Caenorhabditis elegans: one gene and its partner. The protein of the gene in region 1 purifies or fractionates together with the protein of each later gene. This does not show direct contact. Each region holds a gene or a part of one and is shown in the gene's direction. Other genes may lie near its edges.

Region 1 (8,072 bases):
GGAAATACTCAATTCCGGCAATTTGCCGAATTACCGGAAATACTCAATTCCGGCAATTTGCCGATGTTCCGGAAACATTTAATACCGGCAATTTGCCGATGTTCCGGAAACATTTAATTCCGGCAAATTACAGATTTGCCGCAAATATTCAATTCCGGCAAATTACAGATTTGCCGCAAATATTCAATTCCGGCAAATTACAGATTTGCCGGAAATCTTCAATTCCGACAGTTTGGCGTCCACCGCTGATGTAAAACACAAAAAGAATTAGCGTAAGTTGAACAAAATCGCGGATTCTTGTCAAAAACTGTTTAAATAACTAGTTCACAGTTGTCCAAGAGTAGTACAAGAAGGCTGGAAGTTTTCTTTCCGATTTTCTCTGAAAAAAAACTAATTTTTTTTCGATTTTTTGCAGTCAAATTTTTTGCAGTCTATTTAGAGAATCAAACGATCGTTGAGATCAAAAAATTTGCATATAAAAGGTAAAAGACGGGAAAAATTGAAATATCAAGTATTTACAGATCATTATAAAAATTAAAGCGGGGGAAAAATTAAATCGGGGGATTTTTCCTATACAGACGTCCCGGCATTTTCAGTTTCCGGCTGGAGAGGCCCGGCTGCTGCCGCTGCCTTCTTGCTCGCCGCACCAGATTTCTTCGACTTCTTCCGATTCTCCTTGCCAGCAGCAGTAGCAGTAGTTCTTCCAGCCAAGACCAGTGGCGATCCGTTCACCGAGAAGGCGATTTCCTCGTCAACGTGTGGAGCACGGAATGGCTTTTCCGGTTGAAGTGTTGGCAGTGGGAGCACTTGTCCAGCTGGCGTTATGATCTCGTTGCGGCGGTGCTCGTCGGCCGCCGTGTTCCTGCCGCTGAAAAAAAATTAATTTATTTATTGAGAAATCGATTTTTTTTTTGTTGAAAACTTACGAGTTCTGGCCAGATGGAGCAATCGGAATGCTCGTCTCATGCGCCGCATCGTCGTCGATTTCAGGCTCCTGCTTGACCTGCACCGTGTTCCGGCCGCTGGAAAATTTATTGATAAAAGTAAATGGCGGAAATTTGGATTTTTTTGAAAACTTACGAGTTCTGGCCAATCGGAATGCTCGTCTTTTGCGCCGCCGCCGCGTCGTCGATTTCCATGTCAGGCTCGGAAGGAAGCTCCTGCTTAACCGCCACCGCCGCTTCTCCTTCCTCCTCCTCCTCGCCGGATTCAATGTAGAAATCATCCGGTGGCGATGCCAGAAACTCCATGATCGGCATATCCCTGTATTTTGGCTTGATTGTGGCGATGATCCGGTCGGATTCAGCCTTTGCTGTCTGAAGGGCGACCTCCCGCAGCTTCTTCTTATACTCCTCGAGTAAGTCCTTGACTGGAAAATAAATTATTTAAATATAATAAATTACTGGAGATCTTCAAGCTTACCACGCGTCTCGAGAGTATCCGCCATCGCAACCACAGCCGGGTCCTTCTTGATCTTGCGTGGTGGCATTCTGAAGAAAATAATGAGAAATAATCGGAGAAAATCGAATTTTTGAGGGAAATTAACGTGAAAATTAACTTTTTTAAGGTAAAAATCACAAAAGAAATCGAAAAATGCGTGGAAAATGAGAAAAATGGCGGAAAAAATTATAAAATTAATCGAAAAATTTTCGCGCTCGCATTCGGTGTTTGCGGACTGCGTACCGTACCCCACGCGCAAAAGAAGGAAACAGGTCTGGAATAAAGATTTATAAAGACAAACTTATGAAAACATGATTTGAAATATATTTTTTACCGTTTTTCCATTTGCATACACTTGATACCAACTAGAACAATTAATTTTCACTGAAGAAAATTTCGTAGCAAGAAATTTCGCAATTTTGCCTTTTTTGCTGCAATTATTGATAATATTTCAGCTTAAAATGTATTCTGAAAGCGTCCCATGCATATTCAAATATTTATCATTTGACAAGAAGTGGGTTTTATTTTAGAATCCATTTGAAAACACGATTACAGAAGCCATCTTGCAAATTTCAACTCGATATTTCGCAAGCTTGAAAAAAAGCTTCCCTATCACTTTAATTGTATAAAAATCGATACAACAAGGGAGGACTGGCACTTTTCGATTGATAAAAAATATAATTTCAATATTCAAACTGCTCAGCTTGGCGCCAACGTTTTATTCGGTGGAGTTCAACAATTCGGAATTTTAATTGCAAGTCCTGAAGATTCACAGACTGAAACCTTTCGGAAATTGGTGGATTTCTATTTAAATCGACCAGGAACAAGTATTCATACACTGCAAATTCTGGTAATTCTTACGCGATTATGTGTGCGCCTTTAAAGAGTACTGTAATTACAAATTTTTGTGTTATCTAGTTTTTTCTATAATTTGTTGGAAATTTGGGGTTTTTAATTATTTTCTTCTAGTTTTCACAGATTTCTGGCTTCCCTCATAAATTGAAATGGAAGAGTTTAGGCCGAACTAGTCCATTTTGGCTCGGCCATATCTGGGGTAGATTTAAGGTGCGTTGCGTGTCGCGTCGCGGCTCGGTTTTAGTTGTAAAACGAAATGTACGTGTCCGTGTGGAGTACACGACTTTCCCACGCGTTGTCCAGCGGGAGATTATCAATGGAGCGCGAAAAATTCAATGAGCAAGGCCAGGATCCCGCGTGAGCAACGAAAGTTTTCAATTACAGTGCTCTTTAAAGGCGCACACCTTTTATCAATTAACGAAATTTTGTCGTGACGAGACCGTCGTGCGTTTGCAGAATCATCCATATGGTCTCGAGGCGTGCTGCCAATTGAATATTCGACACATTTTTGTAAGAATGCGGATTGAATCCCTGAGATATGACTACACGACCTGGTTTGATTGCCTCCGAGCTCGCCCGTTCGAGACGGCGGAGGTGGATTTTGTTGGAATGGATTACTTGATTCTGGCGGAGCCTGTGGTAGAGTCTGAAATTTGAAAATTCACAGAAATTTGTTGTTTCCTTCCAGATATATTCAGCCAAGAAGCTGTGTATAAAATCATCACGTGCAATTCCGATTCGCGCGATTTCAAATCTCCAATCTCCTTGGATATTCTTAGATTATAATATGACCTCCCCGAAAGTTGTAAATCTCTGCGAAAACTGGATTCAGGACAAAAAACCGATGGGCACCACCTTGACACTTTTCGTGTTCCGTGAGAAGTTTGAGCTGGTTAATCAGGCGATTGATAATAGGTTTGAAGCAAGTTCAGTGCAAAGGAGTGTGGAAGATAGGTAAGAGGTAGTAGTTATTTGAATTTATTTGAAAAAGAAAGTTTCAGGGAACAAGTGATTGTCACCAGTAAAGATACCAATGTGAAAATCTTCAAGAACAGTCAAAAGCAGCTGATAATCCAAGTTGTTGAATAATCTGTATTATTAAGTTTTCAGCTGGAATTGTTAAGTAATAAACTAGTACTGCATCGAGGGTGTGTTAGGAATTTCATAGTGCACCAGCTAACTAGGGAACCGTCAGAAGGTTCCCATCGGACTTGCATATGAGACCTATGCGATTCGATAGTGCATGTATTAAAACGGCTACTCGTGAAATTTTGGCGGCAAAACTCCAGAACCAAGCTCACGGCGGGCTTTCAAAGATCCTGAAAATATCACTGTAAGGAAGAACTTTAATGATCTAACGAAGCAGTTTTCCATATTCACTTTGGTAGCTCATATCTCCGCGGATAAATTTTTTACAGAAAAATCATCAACTGATAAGTTGTTGATATTGTCCTAAAAAACAAGTTTGTAGTTGAAAGTTTTTTACCAAAAAATTTGTATTTGAGAGAAAAGCATTAGAAACGGAATAGCAGCATACAAATAACAACAGCAGTTGCCGCACTTCACGCGGTTTTATTTATCTCAAACAAAAATTTTTTGGTAAAAAACTTTCAACTACAAACTTGTTCTTTACAACAATATCAACAACTTATCAGTTGATGACTTTTCTGTAAAAAATTTTTCTACGGAGATATGAGCTACCAAAGTGAAATTGGAAAATTGGCCCTTCAATGCTTCGTTACAGTGATATTTTCAGGATCTTTGAGAGCCCGCCGTGAGCTTGGTTCTGGAGTTTTGCCGCTAAAATTTCACGAGTAACCGTTTTAATACATGCACTATCGAATCGCATAGGTCTCATATGCAAGTCCGATGGGCACCTTCTGACGGTTCCCTAGTAAGTACTAGGAGTGACATGGTGCATCGGTGATTCACTTCCAATTTCTGATTTGTTAAAGGTCTCCTGAATCACGAGGTACTTTTCCTCGTGACTAATTTTTCGAGAATTGTGTTTTTTGTTTGTTTTGGATTTTTTCCAATTTTCAGAGGTGATTCACGTGATTTTTTCACACCATAAGACAGAAAAAACACAAATCTTGATGTAAACGCGCTCCATTGAGAAACACCCGTTGACGCGAGCTCCCAAATTACGTCTGTAATTTCTTGGGATAAAAACTTATAAACTTCCGGTTATACTATGAAATCACCACATTTTCCCCTAGTCTCCAGAATCCGTGATGACCAGAAATTCGTCAAACTATCGGGAAAACAAGTGATAAAGTGAGAGATAAGAGGTAAATAAGAGAGTGCAGAGAAATCAGGGGGCGGCTGATTTGATACCACATTTTAACTGGTCTTTTCATTTCATTACCTCCTTCTATTGCCAAATTTAATTTTTTGTTCATTTTTTTCTCAAAACATGCGATCGATATTTTCTGTTCTTCTACTAGCGGCTGTGGTTCAGACGCAGTTTGTAAGTGGAGAAAATTATTTAAATTGTCCAGGAGGCGCAGACAAAGAGAGTGCTCTTTCTGTCTGATAGTTTTTGGCGCGCTTTCTTCAAACCTTTGTAACTTTGCGGAGAAGAAAGGTAGAAAAAAGTTGTCAACCAACAAAATATAGGAAATTTTACGTAGTATACTTTTTCATTAAAAAACTTTAAGAAATGTTTAGTTTCCGTAAAGTAACGGGCGTTTCGGAGAGAGTGGAAAAAAATTCCAAAAAAAAATGTGAAAAAGCCCAGGAGCTGACAACTGCGTCGACGACACGGCGTCCTTCGTGGATTCGGTCAAAAGTGACAAGGGTTCAGGAGTGGGCCGGGCTTCGGCGGCGGGGGTCCACAACTACAGTATCCCCTAGATTAGTTAGTAGAAATCTTGGATTGATTGATAGAGGTAGATCAAAATTCAAAGCCCCTGTGATACCAATAGTCATCCCAATACCTCATAGTCCAGGCTTTATTGGCCGTGTAAAGGCCAAACTAGGCTTTGCACCGCCTGATAGCACGACAAGCCCGATGCACCATGACACAGAGCCCACTACACTACCTCCTGAGCCCGCCGGCTTCTTCTCCCGACCCTTTACAAAGCTAAAATCCATGCTGAACATTGGCTCAGAGGACCCTGCCAAGCCGAATTTGGTTGTAAAATATGGAAAAAAGGCAGTGGAAAAGCTGGCGCCCAAAGTTTTGGAGAAAATAAAAAAGGTCTCAGAATTGCTTAAACTTTAAGCCTTAAAGTCCACTCAATTAGAGCAGAAATTTCCAGAGGTAATATTTGAAAGCGTCAATTTTCAGAACTTCCACGGCATGCGGAGTTTCTTCTCCACCGACGAGGAATTCCCAACTCAACTTCAAAACTTTGAAGGTCGCACCGAAACCGAAATTCGGACTTTGAAGGAAAAAGTGGCGAGATTGGAGAAATTAATCGACGGTTTGCAAAGTGTGCTAATGAAAGAGTGGAATACAACGGAGAGTGGGTCAAAGTACCGGCTATTTGAGGAGAGGAAAAGTTGGGATAATGCAGAGAGACACTGTCAAGGGTTTGGAGCTCATTTGGCTATAATCGACAATGAAGCGAAGAATGGATTTGTGACAAGTAGGTTTTAACGGAGACAGTTTGCGGGTTTCAGTCCTACTTAATTTTTCGTAAACTACAGTAATCCTACAGTACTCCTACAGTACTCCTACAGTACCTCTACAGTACCACTACAGTACCCGATCATATCCCCCACTGACCCTGAACCGATATCTCTTCAAAAGACAAAAACTCAATTTTTCCTAAAATACAGTAATTCTACAGTATCCTACAGTACCTCTACAATACCACTACAGTACCCCGACAATATCCCCCACTTATCATGAACCGATATCCCTTCAAAAGACAAAAACTCAATTTTTCCTAAACTACAGTAATCCTACAGTACTCCTACAGTACCTCTACAGTTCCACTACAGTACCCCGACCATATCCCCCCCCCCCCACTGACCCTGAACCGATATCCCTTCAAAAAACAAAAAGTCAATTTTTCTTAAACTACAGTAATCCTACAGTACTCCTACAGTACCTCTACAATACCACTACAGTACCCCGACAATATCCCCCACTTACCATGAACCGATATCCCTTCAAAAGACAAAAACTCAATTTTTCCTAAACTACAGTAATTCTACAGTTTCCTACAGTACACCGATATCCCTTCAAAAAACAAAAAGTCAATTTTTCCTAAACTACAGTAATCCTACAGTACTCCTACAGTACCTCTACAATACCACTACAGTACCCCGACAATATCCCCCATTTACCATGAACCGATATCCCTTCAAAAGACAAAACTCAATTTTTCCTAAACTACAGTAATTCTACAGTACTCCTACAGTACCTCTACAGTACTACTACAGTACCCCAACCATATCCCCCACTGACCCTGAACCGATATCTCTTCAAAAGACAAAAACTCAATTTTTCCTAAACTACAGTAATCCTACAGTACTCCTATAGTATCTATACATTACTACTACAGTACTCCGACCATATCCCCCACTGACCCTCAACCGATATCTCTTCAAAAGACAAAAACTAAATTTTTCCTAAACTACAGTAATCCTACAGTACTCCTATAGTATATATACATTACTACTACAGTACTCCGACCATATCCCCCCACTGACCCTCAACCGATACCCCTTCAAAAGTCAACAACTCAATTTTTCCTAAACTACAGTAATCCTACAGTACTCATACAGCACCTCTACAGTACCATTACAGTACCCCAGCCACATCCCCCACTGCCCTTCAACCGATATCTCTTCAAACGACGAAAACTCAATTTTCCTAAACTACAGTAATCCTACAGTACTCATGCAGCACCTCTACAGTACCATTACAGTACCCCAGCCACATCCCCCACTGCCCTTCAACCGATATCTCTTCAAACGACGAAAACTCAATTTTCCTAAAATACAGTAATTCTACAGTATCCTACAGTGCCTCTACAATACCACTACAGTACCCCGACAATATCCCCCACTAACCCTGAACCGATATCCCTTCATAAGCCAAGAACTCAATTTTTCTTAAACTACAGTAATCCTACAGTACTGCTAGAGCTTAGGCTTCAAGTCTCATGTTACCCATACTGAAAACGAAAAAACATCTCCAGCCAGGTTCACCAGTCAAAAGAAGCAAACTTTTACAATTCTGTTCTAGCCAGTTCCAATAATTTTCCCAAAATTTCAGACCTCATCAACTCCAGCGAAACCTCTGATTTTGCCTGGATCGGCATGAAAACCAAGACCACCACACAAACCTCCACCCCATTCACGAACTTTGATTCCGAGTCCCCTATTGATGGCTGCGCTGTGATGGATGCGAAGGGTGTCTGGTCGATTCGTTCCTGCATTCAACTTCGTCCATTTGTCTGTCAAATTATCAAGAATGATGTTAAAATCTGAAATAATTCTACGAGAAATTGTGAATTGAATTATGAAGTGTAAATAAATATATGTTATGACTAAGGGTAATTTGATACATCGATAACAAAATGATCGCCATTTGTTTATCGAGAAGACTATAAATCAAAAGTTCCCACCGAAAAACAGTTGAGAATTTTTTTCAGAAATAATGCACCCAAAGTGTGGAATTATTCTACTATCCCTAATTTTTATATGTATTACAGAGGTAAGGCTGATTATCAGGTAACACGCCAGCTAAGGGGTACTGGCGCATTCTTGGTGCTTGACGCCACGGGGTTCTGGCGTTCCTCATTGAATTTTTCGCGCTC
Region 2 (10,675 bases), on another chromosome or scaffold:
TTAAAAGTGGAGTAACGTCAGTGCTGAAATTGCTCAAAAACATGCATGCGGCACCACAATAATCAAATATTTTAGCAAAAAGTTTCTGAAAGATGTTCTAAATTTTATCTGATTTTTTTTTGAAAATTGAAAATAAACTCAGTTTTTGCCAATTGTTGGACTTTTTGAAAGTCGTCCTTTCAAAAACTGTTCAGCATTTTTATTTGTTTAATATTTAGTCATTTTGACACCATAAGAGTAGTTTTAAACAATTTTCCAACTTGCGCTACTCCACCTTTAACTGTGTACAAGTTGAAGGATTTATAAAAAAGTGTTGTAAGATCTTGTGTGAGTATAGGAATGAACACCCAATGAGATATAAGTAAGATGAAGAGCAGATGTTGTCCGTCCGACCGACGAGAACTATGGGGCAAGAAAATCGAAGAAAGAAGAAGAAAGAAGAAGAAGAAGATAAAACCTATCCTTGAGGACACATTAGTCGCATGTTTCTCTGCGTTCTCTTGGTTGCACATGCACTCTGCTTGTTCAATTAGAACGTCAACAGTGCATGTATGGTCATATTCTGAAGGGAGGCGAGAAGAGTGAGAAGAGAAAGACAGGCGAATCGATTTGGACGTCGTTTTGAAAGCGAAAAGACGTCTGCGGGGTTCCACCCATGTGGCCCCGATGGCCCGAAGAATGAATAATTGACTACGGCAATTGTCTTTTGGAAAAAAAAGTAATCCGACAAAGTCCAACGTTTTTAGATTAAGATTTCATTGGTAAAATGGTTGAAAAAGCCGAGAAAAACTAATTAATAAATTTTATAATTTATGAAATCTTTGAGATAGACCTGAGCATATTTTAAAACAATACAAATTTAGAAGAACCTTATTTTTCATGAAAGAGATTGAAGTATCATGATTTTCAATTCTATTTCGCAATGTTAGCATTTCATTTAAGATTGAAATATCCTTTTTGAAAGTGTGAGAATTAAATATTCCCATTGAAACTATCAAACTATCAAAGACCAGAGAACAACTCAAAAACAGTACTCTATTTCAGATAAGTTGTACCGTGATAAAAAAAAAGAAGTTAATATAACCGACCGCAGGCGCTACATTCGACGAGCATTCGTAATGCCCTCGGCTCACTCTACGTTATTTGAGCAGTGTGTGGTCGAGGCGAAAGGGGGAAAAGGACGGGAAAGAGTGCGAAGTGTGTACTGCGCTCGTTTCATAAGACTTGACCCTTCACACGTCAGGATGTTTGAATGCGGAATATCGTATTGCTAACTGTGTCCTTCCTGGTGCTGTTTTGCGGTACTGTTTTATTATGAGAGTTGTTGGGTAGTCATCACCTGATTCACGTATGTTTACTATCTTTACTTGTCAGTAGACTTTATTTGTTATGGTGCATAGTAGTTGATTGCTTTTTGTCAGTTTGGACAATTATTCTAGTTGATTTTATAAAGCATGTTTCATCCATTTTTTCAAGCAAAGAGATGTCATAAATTCAAAAACAATTTCCAAGTTATTCTTTAATTTCAATCTATTTAACTTTAAAGAACTGTTAATTGATTTTTCAAAAATATATACACCCATAATATGAAAAAGTATTTTCAACTATCAATAAACACCGAGAAAAGCGGAATATCAAAATTTTTATGAATTAGGGGTGGGAGGCAATTGTTAAAATGCGGAAAATATTGAATTGCTGATGAATTCAAGATTCGGCGATTCCCGAAAATACCGAATATTTTCAAACTCGGCAATCTGGAATAGCAGACATTTAGTAGGGAAACGTTGTATGTCTTCCCAAAAATATTTATTACAATGAACTATTGTTTGTTTGTTTGTTTTTGAATTTTATTTGTTCAAAATTATCGATTGTCAAATTGCCAAAAAATTTTGATATTCCGCTTTTCTCGGTGTTTATTGATAGTTGAAAATACTTTTTCATATTATGGGTGTATATATTTTTGAAAAATCAATTAACAGTTCTTTAAAGTTAAATAGATTGAAATTAAAGAATAACTTGGAAATTGTTTTTGAATTTATGACATCTCTTTGCTTGAAAAAATGGATGAAACATGCTTTATAAAATCAACTAGAATAATTGTCCAAACTGACAAAAAGCAATCAACTACTATGCACCATAACAAATAAAGTCTACTGACAAGTAAAGATAGTAAACATACGTGAATCAGGTGATGACTACCCAACAACTCTCATAATAAAACAGTACCGCAAAACAGCACCAGGAAGGACACAGTTAGCAATACGATATTCCGCATTCAAACATCCTGACGTGTGAAGGGTCAAGTCTTATGAAACGAGCGCAGTACACACTTCGCACTCTTTCCCGTCCTTTTCCCCCTTTCGCCTCGACCACACACTGCTCAAATAACGTAGAGTGAGCCGAGGGCATTACGAATGCTCGTCGAATGTAGCGCCTGCGGTCGGTTATATTAACTTCTTTTTTTTTATCACGGTACAACTTATCTGAAATAGAGTACTGTTTTTGAGTTGTTCTCTGGTCTTTGATAGTTTGATAGTTTCAATGGGAATATTTAATTCTCACACTTTCAAAAAGGATATTTCAATCTTAAATGAAATGCTAACATTGCGAAATAGAATTGAAAATCATGATACTTCAATCTCTTTCATGAAAAATAAGGTTCTTCTAAATTTGTATTGTTTTAAAATATGCTCAGGTCTATCTCAAAGATTTCATAAATTATAAAATTTATTAATTAGTTTTTCTCGGCTTTTTCAACCATTTTACCAATGAAATCTTAATCTAAAAACGTTGGACTTTGTCGGATTACTTTTTTTTCCAAAAGACAATTGCCGTAGTCAATTATTCATTCTTCGGGCCATCGGGGCCACATGGGTGGAACCCCGCAGACGTCTTTTCGCTTTCAAAACGACGTCCAAATCGATTCGCCTGTCTTTCTCTTCTCACTCTTCTCGCCTCCCTTCAGAATATGACCATACATGCACTGTTGACGTTCTAATTGAACAAGCAGAGTGCATGTGCAACCAAGAGAACGCAGAGAAACATGCGACTAATGTGTCCTCAAGGATAGGTTTTATCTTCTTCTTCTTCTTTCTTCTTCTTTCTTCGATTTTCTTGCCCCATAGTTCTCGTCGGTCGGACGGACAACATCTGCTCTTCATCTTACTTATATCTCATTGGGTGTTCATTCCTATACTCACACAAGATCTTACAACACTTTTTTATAAATCCTTCAACTTGTACACAGTTAAAGGTGGAGTAGCGCAAGTTGGAAAATTGTTTAAAACTACTCTTATGGTGTCAAAATGACTAAATATTAAACAAATAAAAATGCTGAACAGTTTTTGAAAGGACGACTTTCAAAAAGTCCAACAATTGGCAAAAACTGAGTTTATTTTCAATTTTCAAAAAAAAATCAGATAAAATTTAGAACATCTTTCAGAAACTTTTTGCTAAAATATTTGATTATTGTGGTGCCGCATGCATGTTTTTGAGCAATTTCAGCACTGACGTTACTCCACTTTTAAATTTCAGCAAAGTTAATTTCATTAATTTCAGCGTCCTCCCGATGCCACCGTCTACAGACAGCTCGCGGCGGAATTCGGAAGAGGGCTCAAGGTTTGTCAGACACAAAACAAAAAAAAAGAGTTACTCTTCCAAAATAAACATTCTCTTTTGTTTTAGCGATGGATTTAAATTGGATTCGTCGGCGCTTAACAAACCACCAGAAGAAGTTTTCGACATTGTTGGAAAGCTGGGCGAAGGGTTTGTTATTTCAATTCTATCGGATTGAAAAATTCCAAATTTTCAGATCATATGGAAGCGTACATAAGGCAATTCACAGAGAGTCAGGTCATGTGTTAGCCATCAAAAAAGTGCCAGTGGATACTGATCTTCAAGAAATTATCAAGGAAATCAGTATAATGCAACAATGTAAAAGTAAATATGTTGTCAAATACTATGGATCGTATTTCAAACATTCGGATCTATGGGTGAGATTGTTTAGATAAATTTTAAGATTTTAATGCTGTGCCCAAGTGGGACTAAATAAAAGAAATTGAACAAAAATTATATTCGTTTTGTGAATTAGAGTTAAAAACAGTAAAGTTCTGATTTTTCCACAGAAAAAAATGTAGCTTAAAGTGGAAATAACATTCAAAAGTATTCATTCAAATGCATGCCAATTGAAATTCAAAGATTTTATTCCCTACCCCTAGTCGAAAATCAAGAAGAAAACTGGACTAACAAAAAAACTAATTTAAAGATTGTGATGGAATACTGTGGAGCTGGGTCGATCTCCGATATAATGCGTGCCAGGCGGAAACCGTTATCCGAACAAGAAATCAGTGCAGTTTTGCGCGATACTCTCAAGGGATTGCAATATTTGCATGACTTGAAGAAGATTCATAGAGATATAAAGGTTAGAAACTGTTTTTTTTTGAAAAAAAAACTGTATTTTCAGGCTGGAAACATTCTACTCAATACCGATGGAATTGCAAAGCTTGCGGATTTCGGTGTCGCTGGACAGTTGACTGATACAATGGCAAAAAGAAATACAGTCATTGGAACGCCATTCTGGATGGCCCCTGAAGTTATCGAAGAAATCGGATATGACACAAAAGCTGATATATGGTCACTGGGAATAACAGCTATCGAAATGGCAGAGGGACGGCCTCCTTATTCAGATATTCATCCGATGCGAGCAATCTTCATGATTCCAACTAAACCACCACCTACGTTTAAAAAACCTGAAGAATGGTCGTCCGAGTTCAATGATTTCATAAGAAGCTGTTTAATTAAAAAGCCAGAAGAAAGAAAAACGGCACTCCGATTGTGTGAGGTACGTATGGCTTAAAAAAAAAGAAATTTCCCAATAAGATTTATCCAAAAAATATTGAAATTCTCAAATATTCGTTATATTTGTTAAAACTGTGAAAAAAGGTACATCCACCTAAAATTCAAAATTTCGACAACTTTTTTTTGTCGCAGGGACTAGAAATTAATTTTCAATCATGTAGTATTTCTTTTTTCTATTTTTTAAAGTTTCTAGTCGGTAGTCAGCTAAACTTGTGTTCTAATCGGCTGAAAATATGTCCATGTCAGCAAAAAATGCGAGAAAAGCGATAAACTTTCACGTTTGACTACAAAATGATGTCGATAAAAGCTTGAAATCTATAAAAACAAACAATCCAAAAAACGCTAGAACTCAACATAATTCTCTACTCGGTATTCAGAGGCAACTTCCTGCCACACTTTGACAACTTATTTAGTGCCACTAAAATAAGTTGCCAAATTGCTGGCAGGAAGTTGCCGAGTTGTTGGCAGGAAGTTGCCACGTAGTGGCAGTAAGTGGGAAAAAACATCTAAATGTTGGCAGGAATGTGCAAAAGTTTGGCAGAAAGTTGCCAAAAGTTGGCAGGAAGTTGCCTTTAAATGCCGAGGAGCGTTCTTTCCCACTTGCTGCCACTACGTGGCAACTCATTTAAAAACTGCCAAGATATAGACGGGGCCAAATTTTCATATTTCCTACAACTACTCTCAACCGAAAATAGAAGATTTCTTATAATTTGACAACCCCTTCGGAGTAATTTTTTAACTTTTTACATAGAATTTTCTACTATTTTTATACACTTTTTTGTTGTTTTCTGTCATAGTATTACTAATACTGCTGAAAAACAAATGATACACAGTTTGTGAACATTGCTCACTTCATAGATATTTTTCAGCACACATTCATCAAAAATGCACCAGGTTGCGATATTATGCAGTTGATGATCCAGGATGCTCAAGAAAAAGCTATACTAGGACAAGCACCAATGGTTGACAAAAAATTTCATTAGAAAACGAAAATTTGATTGTTTTTTCAGGCAGCAAGCAGCGGAAATGATGCAACGTTGCTAAGCGAGGGAATGTCCACTATGATTGACGGTGGAGAGTCTACGTTAGTTCAACACAAAGGTATTATGATAGTTTTGAATATGTAATTTGATCATATGTGTCGTGGGAAAGTGCAAAACTCACGCACCTAATTTGCACTACTTTGTAGCTCGATATTTAGTAGTAACGTGAAGCAGGACACAGGGAGAAATTACAAAATTACCTAGTGAAATAGAACTCACAATTTCAGACAACTATGTCACTGCTCAAAGTCTTCGAAGTCAAATGGAAAGCTTGAGAATTGGTGGAGAAATTCCTAAATCGGCATATAGTTCGTTTTTTCATGAGCGTTAAATTGCATTCACCGATATAGTTCCAGGCTCGTCGAAAAATGGCAACTCACCGCGCGTTCAACCACCGGGTCACACCGCAAGCGCTTCAGACCCTTCAAAAAACCAACCGTTTGCTCAAGATGGAACCGGTCCAAACTTTCAATTGGGCACCAGCGAGAGCAGTTACAAAGATGCTAGTTATAATATGAGTTAGTTATTTGAAAGAAAACCAATTATAAAATGATGATCTATGAGAAAAAAAAGCTAGCATAAAAAACGTTATTCAGCTCGAATGACTTTGACAAAAAAATGAAAAATTATTCAGGCATTTTCACAAACCTAAAATTTTATTAAAATTGAAATGTCATACCCCTTATTCTAGCCATGCATGAAATGTTAGCTGATTAAGATTTTGCCTGTAAATTCTAAAAAATGAAAAATGTCACTACTAATGTTTTGTGGAAAATTTGTATTGCATAAGTTTTGAAACTTAGAAAGACATATTTTGAAATCTTGAATTGAATCACAGTTAAAAAACACCTACTCTTTCAGTGAACACGGAAGCCGAATACGAAAATAGATTTCAACGGGCAGTGGTCGATGGAGATTTCGAATTTGTAAGTGTATTTCGTAATTTTTCTAATAACGAAATAGCTGCATTTAGTTACGAAACATCACGCTAGACGAACTGATTCGAAGGAAAGAAAGTTTGGATTCGGAGATGGAAGAAGAAATACGAGAGTTGCAGAGAAGGTAAAATCTTTTTTTTTTAATTGGTTGAATTTGAGGAAATTTAATTCAAACACCTCAAAAAGCCGGAAATTGAGATTTTTAACAAAAAATCCTAAGCGAATTTTCTAGCTGGATTTTTTGTGAGTTTACTGATTTAAACATCTAAAGGACAGTTTTATGAATCGCGAACTACTGCTATTTATAATTTTTAAGAAATAGTGATGCTGAAATTTTGCTCAGAATTTTTTTCTTTGATGCTTAAAATTCCATTCTCAAATTTAGGATATTTGAAGCTTTTGGCATCGAATGTTTTCAAAATGAGCCAACTTTTCTCTTTTTTTCTTACATTTTGGAGTCAAGAAAATTGATATTAAAATCCGCAACAGTGGCAATTCACGATTAAAGTCAAATACTAAAAAAAGAACAAAATTTCAGATACAAAACAAAAAGGCAACCAATACTGGATGTTATAGAAATCAAAAAACGACTTCAATGACGGCTTCGATACATGCTTGTTTAATAATAATTTTTTTGTCAATCTGCAAATATATGAAACCTATTAATTAACTAGATTGTATTTTAAATGTCATATTTATTCTAAATTTTGTTAGATCAGAAGCAAGAGCAAACTGAACTTGTTGTGTTTTGCTTAGCTTTTTCATGCTAAAATAAATCTGGTCAATTTTAATTTTTTTGGGAAGGTTTGTTCTGAAGGCGGATATTTTATCAGTGACTAACAAGGAACAATGGGAGTGACGGATATAATTTTTCGAATAACGGAAATAGATAAAATTTCACTTACAATTGAAAAAGCTGCAATGAGTCAGAGCGATAGATGGTTGATCTCGATGAGTCTAGTTTTTCTTATTTGTTTGCCTACCGCGGAGTTCACGTAGCGACCAATTAATATTTTTAGGTAAATTTTGCATGGCATCCTAGTAGAAACAAAAAACCACATTCTGAGTGCTTTTTGCATTACGACTGCCGTTTTGAATCGTAAGATTTATGGCTTATGACGGACGTCCTTTTAGCTTTAGTCTGTTATAATTGTCATATTGGGTCTCTGCTGCCGTTGGGAAGCAGATATATTTCGTCAACTACTAGCCGAGAGGGCGTTTGCTTTTTTTTTTTCAAGAAGAGGCAAATATACACTTCGAGGCGAATGTTTCTCAACTGTCAGGTAATATTTGCGAAACCGAAATATATTTAAGGAGTGAAGGAAGCGAAGATTGCCATCGAACAAAAGTTCATCCGCTATCAGCTTATCAACAATGTTCGCACTTATTCTTTCTTTGTGTCTTTTTCAAGGTAAACTATTCTTTCAGAATTATAGTATTTTCTGAAAAATGTTTCCAATTTCTGAAACAGTTTTTTTTTGATTGTTATAAAATATTTTTAGGAACACTTTCATATGTAATTGGAGGCGGTGTACAAGCAAATCCAAGCGGATGCAACGTATGTGGTGATAGCCCTCAGTGGAGTGGATGGACAGAATGGTCTTCCTGTTCTGCCGCTTTTGGAAGTAGGTCTTCTATTTTTTGAATTTTTGCTATAGCAGTTTTGCGAAAACCTGACACATCAATTTAAAGAAACATTCAGTTTTACTGGTCCCGCCACAATTTCAGTGATCTTTATGAAATGTAAAATTCTACAGTGCACAGAGATTCTTGGATTTGAAATAGAATTTCCAACACCTGGAGTCACATTTCCGCTATATGTACATCTTCATAATAATAATTTCAATTTCAGCGCCAGTCCAAACTCGCACTAGACTTTGTCCATCCGGCAACTGCCAAGGAGGTTCTACAACAGAATCAAAACCATGCGTCCTTTATGATCCACAACCAACTCAACCACAATGGGGAGCTTGGGGAGGTTGGAGTAGTTGCAGGTTAGCAATATTTTGCTTTAATCTGTTTATTATTGTTTTGTTTTCTTTATTGCCAAACTGATAAGCCTAACTTTTCTTTTTGCAGTGCCACCTGCGGCGGTGGTACGATGACGAGAAGTCGTGTTTGCAATAACGGATGCTCAACCTGCCAATGTGTCGGAGCTGCTGCCGAGTCGCAAGCTTGCAATGCTCAACCGTGCTGCACCTGGACTGCTGTGAGAACAAATTGAGTTCAACTTCTCACTTAATAACTTTTGTTTCAGTGGTCTTCCTGGTCGGCGTGCTCAGTAACCTGCGGATCTGGAGGATCAATCACCAGATCTAGGCAATGTAGCTGTGGATCGGGAGTAAGTTTAAAATTTATAAAGCTAAACGTTTTTATTCAATATAACATTTATAACTGTTTGTTTCAGTGTACTGGAGGCTCCGTTGAACAAGAGCCATGCCCTCAACAAGCTGCTTGCCCGTGCACAACATGCAATCAACCACCACCACCATGCAATACTTGTAATACCCAACCGGTTGTCATTGTGACTCCAGCTCCATGCACAACTTGTTACCAACCACCAGCGTGCTCAACCTGCGGGCATGCACAACCTTTCTATGATCCATACGGAAATGGAAGAAAGAAGAGAATGATTACAGTATCTGGAAATTCGACAAGTGCTTAACTGTATTGAAACTTGTGTACATTTATGCAATATTTTGCACATTCCGAAGCAATATAAATAAAGTATTGAGCAATTATTATTTCTATCCACTACAGCAGAATCACAGAACCACTAAAAAAACAAAAAAACTAAACAATCTCAATTATCAAATTAAATATCAGCAGACGCTTCAGTGAATGCTGCCTTAAGTGCAGGTCACTACGGATCTGGGAGTCAGGTACAACGTTCTTGATGGTGCTCCGTCCGAGCAGGGGACTTTGGTCAATAATCGCATTGCTCCTATTGAGGGTTATTTTTTGTCATTTTTGTTAGCTTAATTATTTTGTTTGGAAATCATGCCTCTCAACAGTTAGTACATTTGATAAGATCAAATCTGTGGAATGGTCTGCATTTTTAATGTGTTTCTGTTTTTGTGCTTGTCGACTCTTGAATAAAAAATGTCCGTTTATTTTGATTTATTTGATACAAAATTCTCATGGCTTATTTGAATAGTTAAAGAACGGGCCAAAAAAATTTCAGCAGAACAATTTTGTATAACAACTTCAAATAAACTCGAAAAAATTGGGAAGTGTAAGAAGTAGGCTGCCAGACAGGTTGGGTATGGAATTACAAGCACACCACAAAGTGAGGAAATGAATTAGAGCTCTCAATCAAAATTTGTATAACTTCAAATAAAATTGGTTGAATTTCTTCTAATGTACATATAGTTTTGGTTTCATCACCTGCATTGTGAAATCGTTTTTAAAAGTTTAGCACTGTTGGCAAAACATAAGCGATTCATATAATTTTAATTGGAAAAATAATGATAAATTCCGAAAGAGTGATAAATATCGAGAGCGTGCTCTAAAAATTGTTCAGACTATTTTTAATAAATGTATATTTAGGTCTTGACACTTTTAGAGGAAGCAAGTGGTAAATAATGTTTCAGTCTTTCCCGTAACTGATTCTGATCTATGGTAAAATTTTTTGAATAAATAAAATTATTTTTAAAAATTGTTTAATATTTCTTTTTCTTTGATTTTGCAAAAAATTAATGTTCAAAGTGGTGAATAACAATTGAATTTTTGCGCAAACGCAAATTGATTGTTTTTTCTAAACTCTAAAAATGGACAAGTAGTTAATTCTTCAACTGGTCGTCTTAGGAATTCTTATGAATTATGAAGGCGCTTATG

What was found.
Region 2: the proteins of fbxc-23 (region 1) and cst-1 fractionate together in Caenorhabditis elegans (co-fractionation; one large-scale study listed by BioGRID). This does not show direct contact.

Annotation. Positions count from the first base shown.
Region 1 is NC_003280.10:13,590,373-13,598,444, reverse strand, and holds fbxc-23 (FTH domain-containing protein), read left to right. Parts: upstream 1-1,889; 5' UTR 1,890-1,901; coding exon 1,902-1,954; intron 1,955-1,995; coding exon 1,996-2,290; intron 2,291-2,751; coding exon 2,752-2,934; intron 2,935-2,983; coding exon 2,984-3,249; intron 3,250-3,296; coding exon 3,297-3,384; 3' UTR 3,385-3,442; downstream 3,443-8,072. Other genes in the region: csc-1 (Chromosome segregation and cytokinesis defective protein 1), read right to left, coding at 571-868, 927-1,022, 1,081-1,369, 1,423-1,489; clec-146 (C-type lectin domain-containing protein), read left to right, coding at 4,712-4,765, 5,588-5,888, 7,529-7,743; clec-145 (C-type lectin domain-containing protein), read left to right, coding at 7,913-7,969.
Region 2 is NC_003284.9:4,336,076-4,346,750, forward strand, and holds cst-1 (Serine/threonine-protein kinase cst-1 37kDa subunit), read left to right. Parts: upstream 1-3,556; 5' UTR 3,557-3,568; coding exon 3,569-3,618; intron 3,619-3,684; coding exon 3,685-3,765; intron 3,766-3,811; coding exon 3,812-3,992; intron 3,993-4,264; coding exon 4,265-4,420; intron 4,421-4,462; coding exon 4,463-4,840; intron 4,841-5,726; coding exon 5,727-5,819; intron 5,820-5,867; coding exon 5,868-5,958; intron 5,959-6,127; coding exon 6,128-6,208; intron 6,209-6,250; coding exon 6,251-6,418; intron 6,419-6,761; coding exon 6,762-6,826; intron 6,827-6,873; coding exon 6,874-6,962; intron 6,963-7,376; coding exon 7,377-7,437; 3' UTR 7,438-7,631; downstream 7,632-10,675. Other genes in the region: F14H12.3 (Thrombospondin type 1 domain protein), read left to right, coding at 8,213-8,249, 8,341-8,463, 8,691-8,832, 8,918-9,047, 9,096-9,179, 9,246-9,503. UniProt on the Caenorhabditis elegans protein: Serine/threonine-protein kinase which extends lifespan and delays tissue aging, probably by activating daf-16.